2 linked regions of the Tamandua tetradactyla genome follow. The protein of the gene in region 1 interacts with the protein of each later gene in a biochemical or structural test. Links are inferred from orthologs where the notes say so. Each region holds a gene or a part of one and is shown in the gene's direction. Other genes may lie near its edges.

Region 1 (7,790 bases):
AATTCTAAACATAGTAAGCAATTAAACAAATTCCCTCAACTGAAGACGGGCTGGCTGGCTGTTCAGATGATGGTCCATCTAGTTGACCAAGGACCTATCCCAATGGTGGCAAATAGAGGATGCTTCCCAGACTTTTAAAATTGATGATGTGCTTGTTAGTTGACAAGGGCACACCAGAGAAAACAGAATCTGCTCAGCCTCCTGTTCATGCCCCACCCCCTTGTCTCAATGCTTCATCTTTAAAATCTGGAGTCTGACCGCTTCCACACTCATTTCACACTCAGCATGTCCCCCCACCTCCACCCCCGACCTCTTTGTGAACATGTCTGTCTTTCTTAATCATCTTTGCATCCCTGGCTGTGCCTGCCTCCAGCACCTACCTTAGTTCTTAACAAGAACTAAGCATTTAATCAATATGTATTTGCACAGGGCAGGCCTCAAATGAAGAGCTTTGCATTGCAAGCACCCCTCCTGCTCCTATTTCACTCTGTTCTCTAATTTACACCCAGAGATTCAAGAGCTCTTATTTCTTTTTCTTCACTCTTCACATGACTATTTGAAAAGTCCCCCTAAACATGCTCAAACCACCCATTAGGAAACAGTACCACAATTACAATGATCATATTTTCCAAACCTAAATATTGGAGCCTGTGTTCTGGCTGGTAGAGGTTTACTTAGTGGTATTAGGAAGTCATAGTAAACGTGGGATTGTCCCTGAAAATCCACAAACATAAACTGCTGGAACTCAAAGGGAACAAGGATGTTCTGCATTGTAACCCTCCCAAGCCCTGCCTATGGGATCTGGCCCAGCCTATCTTTCCAATCTCCTTTCCTACCTCTCTCTTCCCCAGCACTGCCCCAGCCATGCTGACCTCCTTTCGGTTCCTTGAACCAATGAGCTTGGCTCTGTTTCAAGAGCTTTGCACTGGCTTTTTCTTCTTGCTAGAACCCTCTTTGCTGGATCTTTGCACGGTATCCATCTCCCCATCATTCAGGTCTTAGTCTAAATGTCACCTTGTCACAACGGCTTTCTTTAAGAGCCACCACCTCCAGTAGCCCCTAGCCTCCAGTGGCTCTGGAGCCTATTATTCTGACTTCATTTTCTTCCTGGTATGTACCTCTACAGGGAAGTATCTTATTTAGGTGTTTACAGTCTGTCTCCACCTCCCCTCTCCTACCCACTACAATGTAAGCTTCATAGGGCAGGTCTTTGATGGTTTGCTTGCTCCCATATTCCAGTACCTAGAACAGTGCCTGGCACCTGGAAGGTATGCAATAAAACTGAAATAAATGCAGAAACACCGCTCCTTCTGGCACACGCTGCTGCTCTCTTGAGTACCCTTGGCTGAGGGCCGTGCAACCTGCTCTTGTGAGTTTAAGTCCATCCAAATATCTTAGGGAATTGCACATATCATGGGAAAGATGCATAGAAAGAGCTTGGTTTGGGCTGGGTGGGAAAGGAAAGTCAAAAGTTTAGGGCAGGGCCACGGTGGCTCACTGGCAGAGTTCTTCCCTGCCATGCCGGAGACCTGGGTTAGGTTCCCAGTGCCTGCCCATGCGAATAAAAAAAAAAAGGTTTAGGGCAGAAAACAGAAGCAGAACAGGGGATGCTGCTAAGCAAAACAAATCTGGTAAAAAAAAAACAAAAAAAAAACCCACAATTGTAAAAATAAAAATTAAAAGCAGCACAGGGTGGAGATGTGTTTCAACTGTAGTTTCTGGAATACTGAATTGAACTGGTAGTCAGTGAAAGGTTTAAGAGGCGAAAGGGTGAGAAAGAAGGAAGGTAAATCGGGAAATTTAAAGCATGCAGGTGTATTTCTGCGCTCCGGGGCTGAGCTCACCAAATCCAAGATGGAGGGAGGTGAGTCAACACCTGGGCGATGGCATGGGCAGTTTTTAAGCAAGGGGTCAGGTGATATCCGGAAGGGGCGGTTCTCCAGAAGTCAGGTGTCCAGAAGGGGCGGTTCATCAGTTCCGGAAGTCAGGTGTCCAGAAGGGGCAGCTCCAGAAGCCATGTTGGGAGGGGTGACACAGCCTTGGCAGCTCCAGTTGCAGTGCCGTTCCCGATTCTCCTGACCTACCAGTCAGGACATCCCAGATTTAGACTTGACTTTGCCACAAATGCTTCCAGAGGTCAGTCGGTGCCTCTCTGTCAGCTTTACATGCTTCATCTATAAAATGAGAAAGCTAGAAGTCTCTTCCATCCTTTCCAATGATGACTCTGTAAAAGGAGAGACAGCAGGGTGTATAACCTGTCCAGATTATAAGTATTAGGGTTCTACAGTGAGGTTGAACCGCCAAGAACCAAGGTGTAAAATAAGTAAGGTCTCATTTTGAAAGTCAACATTAACAATCAGAGGTCAGATATGTGCAGAATTGTCTGGGAGATAAGGCAGTCTTTTAGGCCGGCGAGACCACAACAAGCACCAGTTTCAACATAATAGCATGTTTAAAGAAAAATAGAATGTGCCAATAAGGAAAGGGTGGGGGGTTCTGTAACCTTAGAGAGAAGGAGAGGCCACAGGCAAAACCCACCTCTGCCCTTCCACATAAGGTCTCCGCGAAGGGCCTGACCCAGAGTTTTTTCCCCCTTGAGAGGTGAACGTAGGAGCTGTAGCTAACAGGCTGTGAGTACTTTCCAGGGACATTGCTGGCCGATGGTTAAGAGTTCAGACTCTGGAAAGAATGACTGGATTCTAGTATTCATTCTGCCACTTACTGGCTACGTGACCCAGACAAATTATCATTCCTCTCTGCGTCTCCATTTCTTCACCGATGAAATGGGGTTGGTGCTAATAGTACCTTGCTGGGAAAATTACCTAAGTTAATTTGTGTCAGAACTTACAACATGGCCTGCTATTATAGTTTCATTGGCAAAGCTATCTTTGCTAAGATACATGCCTCGGGCCTAATGATATTAAATTCTTGATTCCTCTCATTCTGATGTCACTTTCAACATGCCACCTACTCCCTCCCATATAAGTTTGCTTATACAGGGGGAAAAAAGTATTAATCACAGAGACCCTGAGAATTTCCCAACCCAGAGCCTGTAATTTCTCATGGCACATAGACAAATCACATCTGGTTATGCCTGGGTCTCCCACATTGCCTGACCACAGAGACAGGATGCTTGGATGATGCTGACAGTAGATTTCTGGATTGGGGAAGTTCTGTCTTGATTTCTAAGTCAACACACTGCCATTCTGGTCCCTACCTCCCTCTTTACAGGAGTAAAGGAGTCTTTACAGTGTGTTTGGGTCAAAAGGCCAACTCAGGCTCTGATTTCCATGTACAGTGATGTATGTCCTGGACTGTAAAGCAGAGGTACGGCCTACATCAGTTCCTGGGTGAACTTGTAACCTGTGCACAGAGGCCTGGAGAGCCCCTGTGGCTGCTGTCCCTGCATGAAGAATAGAGAACTTGTGGAAAACCAGTGGGTTAAGAAATATAGGAAAGGAGGGAGCTGTACACAGATACATTAATTCAAGGGCTCCTCCCAGCCTGCCTGCAGTGCTCTACCCAACCCCTTCAAAAAAAAAAAACATGCAAACGTTTTCATTTCATTCTGTGACTCTGCCTTTAGAGTTCAGCAGAGTTGGGAAGCATCCTTGAATAAAATGATGAGCTTCCTGACTTATTGAAAGAGAGCTTTCGATGACGTTGGTGCTTGTCAGTGAGAATGTGTTCAATAAGATTTCCTTCCTCCCGACACCTAGTTAAGCTGAGTTTACCTTGAGGAATTTGCAGATATGTGAGTTTTGCTTTGTTCTGTTTTTGGAGCAAGGAGTGTAAAGGCTGTGGGGAGCTAACAGAAGCATGAAATACTTTGAGAAGCCTAGGAGATCTGCTAATGTCTGGGGAGAACTCTAGAGGCTCAAGATTCTGAGGCCTCTCAGGTGGAAGTTTGGCTGTGACATGGGTTATGTTGGCTTTCTCTGACTGCCAGTGAAGGTAAAGAACAATTATAATATTGTCACCTTGGAAAGATGCAGGCTGCGCTCCATCATTGTAACTTGTAGAGAGACTTTTGAGATACAGCCCATTCTAGCTGAGTTTTCAGATGGGGGACTTCCTGTATTGGATCTGGGGAAGAAAGAGAAGGCCCCAGAAGCATTTGGTGTGGCACTGGGTAAAAAGCTAGATCTGAAGCATAAAGCATATCATGTGTTAGAGCTGAGAGCATTTGTCCCTGGGCTCTAGGGCAGGCAGTGACCTGTTGGAGACACGGGGCCACCAGTGACCCCTCACCGGAGACTGGCAGAAAAAATGTCCCGCATCTGAGAAGAAGAGGTTCAGGGAGTTCGGGTTATGCTGACGCTTCTTTCTGGGCTCTGGGGACAGCTGGGACCCTGTTGACTGTCCAGAGCCCAGGGCCTCGGTCGGGGTCTGCCGTCCTCCTGAAAGCCCTTGCGGAGAGGACAGACAGGTAGGAACCCAGCCAGGGAAGCGAAACCTCGGTTTGAGAAAGCCAGAGATAGGAGAACTGAGTCTAAGATACAGTGGTGCGGGGAAGGACTGAGGACGCCCAAGCAGTCCGCACAGACCCGGCAAGGGTGCGGTGTAGACGCCCGCGGAGAAGGAAGAGTTGAGAAGAGAGGGTTGGGGGGGGGGGGGTGTGGGGTGGAGAGGAGCGGGACCCGGAAGGAGCTGGCGAAGCGGTCCCTGCGGCGACGTGCGCTCCGAGCAGCGCGGCGGGGAGGGTCCGAGCCGGCGTGTGGCCGTGTGACCGCCGAGGCTGCTGCGGCTGGAACAGGTGAGCGGCCGCCAGGCGGTCGGTGCTCGCCCTTGCGGGAGAGCGCGCCTTCCTCTACCGGCTCCCACAGGCGCTAAGCTGCTCCGCCGCTCCTCTCGGTCTGGGGTTTTGCAACTGGCAGCCGGCTTTTTGACCGCTCCCCCCTCCAGGCTCTGTCTCTCCTTCTTCTTTTAGGTTGCTCCACCCCGCCCAGGAGCAGACGAGGGGGAACCAGCTGGGCTGCGGCTGCCAACTCGCGCCGAGTGCGTCTGCGAACTCCCGGGGTGGAGTCCCGCGTCCTGCCACCGCCCTGCGGGGCGCGCTCTCCTCGCTTCCCCGGGCCCCGCGTCCCCCTGCCGCGCCAACCCTTCCCCACTTTTCCCCCCTTTTGCAATCGCATGGCATTTTAAGAATGCCGGAAAGATGGCGGTAGCGGCGGCGGCGGCGGCGGCGGGGCCGGCTGGCGCGGGTGGCGGCCGGGCGCAGCGGAGCGGGCTGCTGGAAGTTTTGGTGCGGGATCGCTGGCACAAAGTTCTGGTGAACTTGAGCGAGGACGCCCTCGTTCTGAGTTGCGAGGAGGGCGCTGCGGCGTACAATGGCATCGGGACCGTCACCAATGGCTCGTTCTGCAGGGGCGCCGGGGCCGGGCACTCGGGCGCAGGCGGCGCGCAGCCCCCGGACTCGCCCGCCGGCGTCCGTACAGCCTTCACCGACCTGCCGGAGCAGGTGCCCGAGTCCATCTCCAACCAGAAGCGCGGCGTGAAGGTGCTGAAGCAGGAGCTGGGCGGGCTGGGCATCAGCATCAAGGGGGGCAAGGAGAACAAGATGCCCATCCTCATCAGCAAGATCTTCAAGGGGCTGGCGGCGGACCAGACCCAAGCCCTGTACGTGGGCGACGCCATCCTGTCTGTGAACGGAGCCGACCTGCGGGACGCCACCCACGACGAGGCCGTGCAGGCGCTGAAGCGCGCGGGCAAGGAGGTGCTGCTGGAAGGTAAGGGGTTAACGCCGCACCGGACGCGCCCACACCCACTGCTGCTCCCACTCGCGCACTCGCACCCCCGCACGTGCCATCGTGCTGCAGGTGTCCGGGGAGGTGGGGTGGCGGGGAGTTGCGACAACTTTTACCCACATGGGGTCTACTTCTCTCCGCCCCTGGAGTCTTTACAGGCCTTGACCCAGGAAAGGTGTTGGACCGGAGGCCAGATGAGTAGGATTAGCGAGCTCCTACTGTGTGCCAAGCACCGGGCCCGGTGCTTGGTGCACGTTGTCTCATTTTATCTGCAGATAGTGTGCGTGTAGCGTAGGGACTGAGGAGCTGAACGGGAAGTGAACGGTAGGCTTAGAGATACTCACCCGTCGCGGTTGCGAAGCGGGCCCACCGGGTAATTGCAACTCGTAGAGTTTTCCGCTTTGGCAGCATTTCCCTCTCAGAAGCCCGGTAAACCAGCAGAAATGGGTTGAATCATAAAGGGGCAGAGAGAGGTGGCAATGTGTGGATGCTAAAATTCTAAGCGCCTCTCTTCGCCTCTGCAAATTGGGAGAGCGCGTTTATGCCCGGAAAGTTGTGCCAAGGGCTGGGAAATTGGCTGCAGGTGTTTTTTTTTTTTTGCGAAAGTTCACTTCTGCCCGATGTCTGAGGGATCTGTCTGGATTCCGGATTGCTCTGGGTGTGAGGGATGGGTGAGGTGGTTTTTCTGCCCCTCTCTTTCCGTGGCTTTTTTGGAAAGATGTGGAAACAACTGTGCATTTGCAAATAGTTTCCCATGCATGTGTAGCGCCTTTGAACCCACTTTCCTGGGATGGGGTGTGTCAATCCACTAATTATTGGATGTGAATAGAATAGGAGTAACTGCTGTACCCGTTTGTGTATATGTATGGGGTTGTGTGGTGGAGAAGGGCAGTAGGTATGAAACCCATAATGCAGTGGCCTTTCCATTGTATTTTTCATTTGATGACTGCCTGTCTGTACTTTAGCACTTGGTGCTTGTGGCTATCAGCACTGATTTTGTGTAATTATTTTTGTCTATTTACCTAGCTTTCTCCTAACTCTAGATCACGTTTCCTGAATTTTTATTCAGATGTGGGTCACGCTTGAGTGTACAAGCTCAATCACATGTGTTGTGAGTGAATGAATGAATAAATGAACCCGTAGCCATTAAAACAGAGTGTTTCAAGTTGAGACCTCAGAAACTGGCGGTTGATTTAAATCTTAACTCAAGGCTTAGATCAGTTTTCTAGATGGGGTGCTGGGGTGTGGAACTGAGAATGTTCCGAGTTGGGAAAGCAGCTTCGTTACCTGGCCTAGAATGCAAAGAGCTTATTTTGCTTTTGTTACTGTTTTTCCTCCTTACTTGTATACAGGCTCTGTATTGTCTTCATAGTTAATCACCAGCCTGGATCCAAAAAGTGGAAGGCTCTTTGCTTTGGCCTAATGATTACCATAAGTAAACAGAAAAATATTTCCTTGATTCGAGTGTGTGTTGGTTTGTGTGGCGAGTGGCAGGTGGGATCTGAAGCAAGTGTAGTTTGGACTATAAACTCCTGGAAACCTGATCAGCTTGCAGTACTTACTATAAAATATCAGGGGGTAGGGAGGGGTGGACAAATGGAGGGCATTTTTACTTCAGGCACCGTCCTTTATTATATCCCTTCCTTTCTTCCTTTCTTTGGTTTCAGTTTAATGAATAGTGACTTGGTAAAGAGGTAAAAACAAATCTCTCTCACCCTTTGAAAAGAAAAGGTGGTTCCCTGCATTTGAAAATCTTAGGTAAAGGAAAGAATTCCAGCAGTTGAGACTGTTGAGACTGTAACTGAAAAGTGGGCTGTGGGGTAACTCTCACATGATGTTCTTAAGAACATCGTGTCTTGTGGAAGGACCTCTTGGAACAACCTGTGGACTTCCTGAGCGTGGCTGACTCAGTGTAGTAGTATTATCTGCAGCTTGAGTTTACGGAAAGAGACTGCAATTGATAGAAGCAAATAGAGGCGGTGCTTGTACAGGCAAAGCGTTGGTCCCGACTGCTGCAAGGGTGATCATACACCATCAAATCAA
Region 2 (7,003 bases), on another chromosome or scaffold:
TTTTAATCCAATTTTCTAATTTTATGATTTTGGAATTACTAGAATAGTCAGATGAAGGCATCAATACAATACTTATTAGGTTCCATTAAGCCTATTTTATGGTGAATATTAAAATGTAAAATTAAAAAAACACCAATGGACAGTACTTTTAATACAGATTCCATGAACAGATTTGCTGAGACCCCAAAATCATTTATTTTGATAAAAAGCCTATCTATGATATTCTATTGTTATTGAAAGCCACACCATACAGCAATGTACAATATGATTGTTTTCCTTTTCTTATCATTTGTAAACTCAGACTAGATTTGCATTCTCCTTTTATGGGAGGCTTCCATAAAAGAAATTTTCAATGTAACCTATATAACTTAAAATATAAATCTAGAAGCAATAGAAAGAGTTATTTTATACTTTGTACTGTCTATGAAACCAAGCCACAACAACTGTATTCACAGCTGCTAGCCAGCTAAAATCTTGGGCACAGAAGGTTGTCACTGGATGGCAGGTACAGGTTGGTTTTCACTCAAGTTGAGGAACTCTATTAGAATATAGAATATATTCTCAATATTCTATTGAGACATTTGATTTTGCATCCTTAATTAAAACCAACCTATCGTGTATGTTCTACGCACATACATTACACGCAAACCTACTTTGGTCCAACAGAGTCTTGCCATGAGAAAACTGTTACATCAATTTTTGGTGGTCAGAATATATATTTTAGGCTTGGCTTAAGAACACAGTGTATTTTCATAAACTCCAAATATCTCTTTGGGTCTTTATGCCTTTATGATTTATAATCTTATTAAGCAACACCTTATATTGGTTAGAATAGACTAGGCTATGCCCTGGTGACAAATAAAGCACGAAATCTTGTTAAGACAATAATGGTTTCTTGCTTACACAAAGCCCAGTACAAGTCAAGTGGTCTTTTTTCTCTTTCTTTAAACTTTTAGGGACTCGTCTTGTAGCTACTCCATCTGAAACGTGTGACCACCAAGGGTACCCTGGCAGGGAAAGGGAGGAATGAAGGAGGCACACTGGCTCTTAATTGCCTTTGCCCAGAGATGACATCTGCCACCATTATTCATAATTAGGTAGAATTAGTCATATGCCCCCAATGTAACTGCAATGGAAATATAGAGTGGCAGATTATGGATATTATGAGAACTGACAATTCGTGCCATATATCTATTGCCTAAGGTCACACTATCATCTTTTTCCTTCATTCAGCATACATTATTGATTACCTTCTTTTTGGAAGAAATTGTGCTGGGTGCTGGTGGATACAGGTCAGAAATGTCATCTTTAACCTCAAATAGCCTAAGAGACTGGGGAGACAGTTACATAAAATAATATTATAATAAAACTATAATGTGAGACAGAGAGGAAATGCCCTGAATAGAGTCATAAATCATGTTCTATTTGCAGGAGTAGAAAGGAAGATGGGATTAATTCTTATTGAAGAAATCCTTGAAATGCTACAGAAGTGACAGCATAGCTGGGCCTTAATGGAAGTTCAGACAAGTTTGATATGGAGGACAGAGGGGGGAATGAGAAAAGAAACATGCTATGGAGAAGAATGAAGAGAGAATAGGAACCTGGATTATGAATCTGTGGGTATAAAGTGACAGATGAGTCAGTGACCAAAACAGGGCCACAAGTTTGGTTATTACTTATTAGTTTATATACTACATACGTATTTACTGGCTTATTCATTGGTGGAGCATGAGACACTAGAATACTGAGTATATCGCTCTACTTTGTTTTCCCCAAAGTTATTTCATTTTATGGGTTAGAAATCAAGGAAAAATTTTTACCAGAGCATTCCAAATTCTAATCAAATTGTTTGCTTTTTCCTCAAATTGTATTTTTTCTCAATTTCCAAACAATATTAAGACTACATTTCATAGGATAAACTGGATTTTTTACACCTAATTCTTCAGATTCCTTTCTGTTCCAGGGAAATATTTATTTAGCATGTCTAGTTAAAGCATCAAGGTGATTTAGAAACGAGTCCCCAAATACTAACTTTAAGGCAGTAGATAATTGGATTAAGATTTTAATTGTTTGAAAAACAAGACTTACAACAACAACAAAGGTTATGATATTATGGTATGAATAGTGGTGTTTGGGAGCTGGATTAAATAAGCCAAGAATCATGGCCAATAAAGAAAAAATCAGAGAAGGAAAATGGAGCATAGGGTCAAAATTCAGGAAATGAATGGTCTTTCTTCTTCCTCTTCTTTAAAAAGAAATAAATGTGGTGAGGGGACAGGAAAAAGGTAAATAACAAATGCTTGAGAACATGACCTTGAAATATGTAGTTTTTACACTGCTTTCCTCCCAAGTTTAAGTATTACTTAATATTCTTTTTTGGGGGGGTAATACAAATGCAATGCTTATAGTCATTGCTATAATTATCAAATGACTATTATGCCTTATACAAATGCCTACTTATCCATTTTTTAGCTTTTAAAAATTTACAAGATTTTCTAGAACTTTTTTGCCTTTGTGCTTTAGTTTCTAAATTGCTTCTTTCTTTAAAACTCTCTCAAAGTTTCTGAAATTATTAATAGCCATCATTTATTCATCTCCTTTTATGTGCCAGACAATTTGCACACATCATCTCTTGTAAATTGTACGACAGCACTGAAAAGGTGATATTTCTAATTTAGCTACAGAAGGTAAAATTCAAATTTCGTTCAGGCATACAGGCTGGCTGTGGTGTACTTAAGACACTAATTATGAATGTGGCTGGATAACTTAACTTCTCTATATTTGTTTCCAAGTTTGTAAAATGTGAATCCTCATAGTAGTATCTAAAAGGGTTAGTGTGGGTATTAACTGAGATAATCAATGCATGTGCTTAGAATAGTGCTTGACAATATAAGAACTTAATAAATTTTATTAATATTACCACTACTATTATTACCGTTTCGAATCTGAGTCCCTCGGGTTTCAAAGCTCAGGTCATTTCCATTAAATAATCTTGGCTTCTTATAAATGATTTAACCCCTAGATTAAAAAAAAAGTTTTTGGGAAGTTGTATTATCTAGGATTGACACAGCATTTAATCTTTTTTGCTTTTTTTTAAGAACAAGAACATGGGGAAATGCCAGCTATTTGGTAGACAAACTGCAGTAACAGTTCTCGAATCCAAATCCACGTTTATTCCTCTGGACAGTTTCTTTTTCTCTAAATAACAATTTAAACATAGATACATAAAGGTCCCAATCTGCAGTTACTCAATGAAAGGAAGGATTTATAAATGACTTTTATCCATTTCTTTCTTATTTTCAAGTTCTCCATGTGCTGTTTCCTATACCCATCCCCCCATGGTGTTAACTACCCCCCCCCCCCCTTTAGTGATTTGTTTGGTGAAATAATCCCCAACCCCTTTCCCTCCAAAGGCTTTAGTTATAAAATGGCCCAACGCTTTCTCCCCAAGTTCACCATGAGGAACTTCTAGAGGCCCTGTATTCTGCCAGGCTCCCCTCATTTTGCATGCTTTCCTCTCCTACAGGTTAAGTATCTCCTTAGGGTATCTAAACAGAGCCACCGCACACCTGGTTCCTAGGTTAGACGCCAAAGTACCTTGGACAAACGTGTGGTGACCGATCTGGAACAACAGATCTTTCTATCTGCCTTTTGGCTTTTTCTCTTGGTCACAACTAAAATCAGAAGTCGGGCGCCGGGAGCCACAGGAAAGTCGCCGCAATCGCGCTGACAGCCTCTCAGAGCATGCTCAGTCGGTCTGGAGTCACCCGGCGGCGACGGTGCACCAGCCCCCCTTTCCCCCATCCGCCACCCGCGCGGGCCGCCCGCTGGGCCGCAGCAGAGCCGGAGACGCTCGCCCCTGCCCCGCCCCGCTTCCCCCCGGCGCGCGCTCCCGGGCACCCACAAGGGCGTTCATCAGCCGCACCACCCCTCCCCGCCGCCTACTCCTCTCCGGCTGCGGAGGGCGAGGACACGTCAAGGGACATAAATAAATAAATAATTCCATTCACCCGGTGGCAGCGAGACGAGCCGGCTGCAGCCGGGTGGGAACGGACAGCTACAGCGCCCACCCTGTGCCAGAGATTAGGTAAAGTAATAACACCCCGGGAGGGAGGGGATAGGAATTGGTGCAGGAGGTGCCCGCGGTGAGGAAGACGAGCGAGCGTCTGCTGTCGGAGTTGCCGGAGGACCCGCAACGGCCAGCCTGTGACAAATGCGCCAACGTAGTCTGCTGGCTAGTCCTTATATAGACAAAAAGAACAAAAAACCCAAACCCAAACCAAAGCAAAACAACAACAACAACAACAAAAAAAACCCCGACGCTGCAATGGAGAAGAGCGCGGGGTCCGCCGGGCGCGGGGCGCGCGCTTTGGAACGGCGGGCTCCAAGGGTCCCGGGCGTGCCTCCTCGGCCAGGAGGTGCTCCCGCGCTCCCAGTTTGTTCCCAGATAATTTGCCGGGGCGGGACCACCCCGTCTTTGCCTACGAGATTCCCGGGGCTAGTTCCTGCCCGGTGTTTCCGTGGCGCGTGCCTCTCGAGCATCCTGGACCTGCTGGCAACCTGGCGTCGTTGCGGCAGAGGTGGGGGCGGGGTGGCGGCGAGAGTGTTGGCTGGGGGAGGCTTATTTTTCAGCAGAGCCGCGGATGATTGAGGTTCCGAGAGGCTGGGAGCAGGAGACGAGACCCCAGGGTCGGTCCCCGAGAAGCATGGCAGGGCCGTTGGCGGACGGAGGTGTGCGTGTGTGTGTGTAAAGGGCTCCCGGGCAGCGGGGGAACGCTGACGGAGGTGTGCGTGTGTGTGTGTGTGTAGAGGGCTCCCGGGCAGCGGGGGAACGCTGACGGAGATGTGTGTGTGTGTGTGTGTGTGTGTGTGTGTGTGTGTGTGCGCGCGCGCGCGCGTAGAGGCTCCCGGGCAGCGGGGGAACTGACTTGGCTGGGACTGAGGAAAGCGTTAGCCCCTGAGACCCACGCGGAGCTTCCGTAGTGCGGCGCTGGGGGCTGGTGGGCGCCGGCCCGGCCAGGTGGTGCGGGAGACCGGGAGGCCTCTCACGTGCGAACCCGCTCAACCCTCAGCGTTTGCCGCCCGTCTGCTGCCGTTTCCACCCTTTTTTCTCCCCTGTTTCCGTGAAAGGGATTACAAGTTGTCTTGGCAGGGGCAGTCGTGGTCAAGGCCACTTTCTCGGTAGTACCAGGGAGGGAATTTTGTGGTTTCACTCCACGGGAATTAAAATTAAACACACATGCACTCACAAGAGGATAGGAGGAGCGGTTTCTCTGCAAGTGTCTAACGCTCCTTCCTGAAGAAGTGGGTTTGGGTTGGGTTGAGTGAGGGCAGGCTAGTGGCACTAGAAAAGTTAATACTGCGTGTCTTCCTTCCTTCTCGGTTCCCATAGGAGACGCAGCAGAAATCGCCACAAATGATCCAGGCAAGGTGAAAAGGATTGGGTAGGAGGAAACGGGAGGCACTAGATTCCCTTCTCTGGCGCTACCAGGCTAAACCCAAATGAGAGCCCTGAACTTTTAACAGACAGGTAGCTTGATTGGAACGGCCACTCCTAAGTGTGCATTTGGGGAAGTGTAATTGAAAAATCAGAGGGCAGTTGAGGGTTGAACAGGGTGACCCTTATTTAGCCTTGGTGAAGCAATCCTGGCTCAACTGTCTCCCTCTGAGCACGTTAACATTACATTAAGGCCAGTCTTAAGTGAATAAACTCAGGAAAAATATTACTACCTTAAGCAACCCAGTGTATTGTGTAACAACTCAGAAAGTCAGAAATTCCTCTTTGTAAATATTCACAGCGATAGTTTTCAATTATGTACTACTTTTTTTTTCCAGGGAGCATTTTAATAATGGAAAGTGGTCTAAAATTTTTAACATCTGTTTCCCATTGTCTACATTAGTGTCTCCACGTATAAGTCTTCCATTTGTTTCTGTTATTTCTAGGGAAGCATTTACTCTACCGCTATTAAAAGTGGGTTTATGTATTTGCCTTCAGCCCCTCCTGAAGGGAAAGGGGGAAAACTGACCTAAGGAAATAATTTCTGTCTGGAGTCATATTCTTCCATTATGGATTCGAAATATCAAGAAGTCTCCTGAGTTACTTTAAATTCTGCATTCATTCACCAAAATTTTTGAGACATTTACATGAAAAGGATAATTAATTTAACCTAGACTTCAAGCTCTGTTCTGTGCTTTTGTAAGGTTGAGTAGCTACTTCAAAATTTGCCTCTTTGGGCAAATGGTTATCCATAAAATGCAATGGGTGGTACCTACCTTGCAGTGCTATTGTGAAGGATAAAAAATATGAACACCTGGAGTATAGACCAGTTATTTTTGAGTCCCTACAGTGGTTCTAGACACTGCCCTGGTGTTACCAAGATGAATGAAGTTGGAAATCTTTTCCCATGAAATTCACATGCAGTCGTCCAGGTTAATAACCCTCTTTTCCCAATAGACAAGTAATATATCCCAAATAACCTTGGAAGAGATTAAACAGTTTAAAGAAATATTTGCAGGTTATAATGTATTTAAAAGCTAATTTGAGAAGGGTTGTCCCTTGCCTCAGAAACCCATGTATTGAGCCCTTCTTTTACCATTTGAGGGTGACCTGTATAAACAGACTATGGATGATTTTCTCCTTAATAGGGAGGAAAGATGTTCTCTGAAGAGGACCTTTGACAATAAACTGACTCCCTGCCTTTTTCTTTTTTTTTGAGAGAGAAGAAATCGAGCTGCAGTTTCTTCTACTCTTTGGACGGGCTAATCCACTTACTCCTATAAGCCCAAAAGTATGGTAACTATAATAACTACAAGTCTATAAAGCTCTTGAAGCACTATGCTACCACTTTCCTGTATTAACTTCTTTAATCCCCATATCAACCTTATGAGCTAGGGCTGAAGTGCCTCCATTTACAGAAGAAGGGTTAAACCTGGTGAGGCTCAGGCAAGAGCCTGGTCTGTCTGGCTTTAACCACTCGGTCATACTGCCTCACATGAAGCTGAA

Evidence for each region.
Region 2: the proteins of SNTB1 (region 1) and SLC16A7 interact in a test that uses a peptide from one of them, tested with the Homo sapiens proteins (2 studies listed by IntAct, with this or other methods). The link is inferred for Tamandua tetradactyla from reciprocal best matches to the Homo sapiens genes SNTB1 and SLC16A7.

What each region holds. Positions count from the first base shown.
Region 1 is NC_135332.1:165,260,457-165,268,246, reverse strand, and holds the start of SNTB1 (beta-1-syntrophin), read left to right. Parts: upstream 1-4,641; 5' UTR 4,642-4,756; intron 4,757-4,930; 5' UTR 4,931-5,158; coding exon 5,159-5,729; intron 5,730-7,790. UniProt on the Homo sapiens protein: Adapter protein that binds to and probably organizes the subcellular localization of a variety of membrane proteins. May link various receptors to the actin cytoskeleton and the dystrophin glycoprotein complex.
Region 2 is NC_135333.1:127,021,701-127,028,703, forward strand, and holds the start of SLC16A7 (monocarboxylate transporter 2), read left to right. Parts: upstream 1-3,929; 5' UTR 3,930-4,087; intron 4,088-4,658; exon of another isoform or gene 4,659-4,731; intron 4,732-6,716; exon of another isoform or gene 6,717-6,788; intron 6,789-7,003. Other genes in the region: uncharacterized protein LOC143642624, read right to left, coding at 3,598-3,804. UniProt on the Homo sapiens protein: Proton-coupled monocarboxylate symporter. Catalyzes the rapid transport across the plasma membrane of monocarboxylates such as L-lactate, pyruvate and ketone bodies, acetoacetate, beta-hydroxybutyrate and acetate.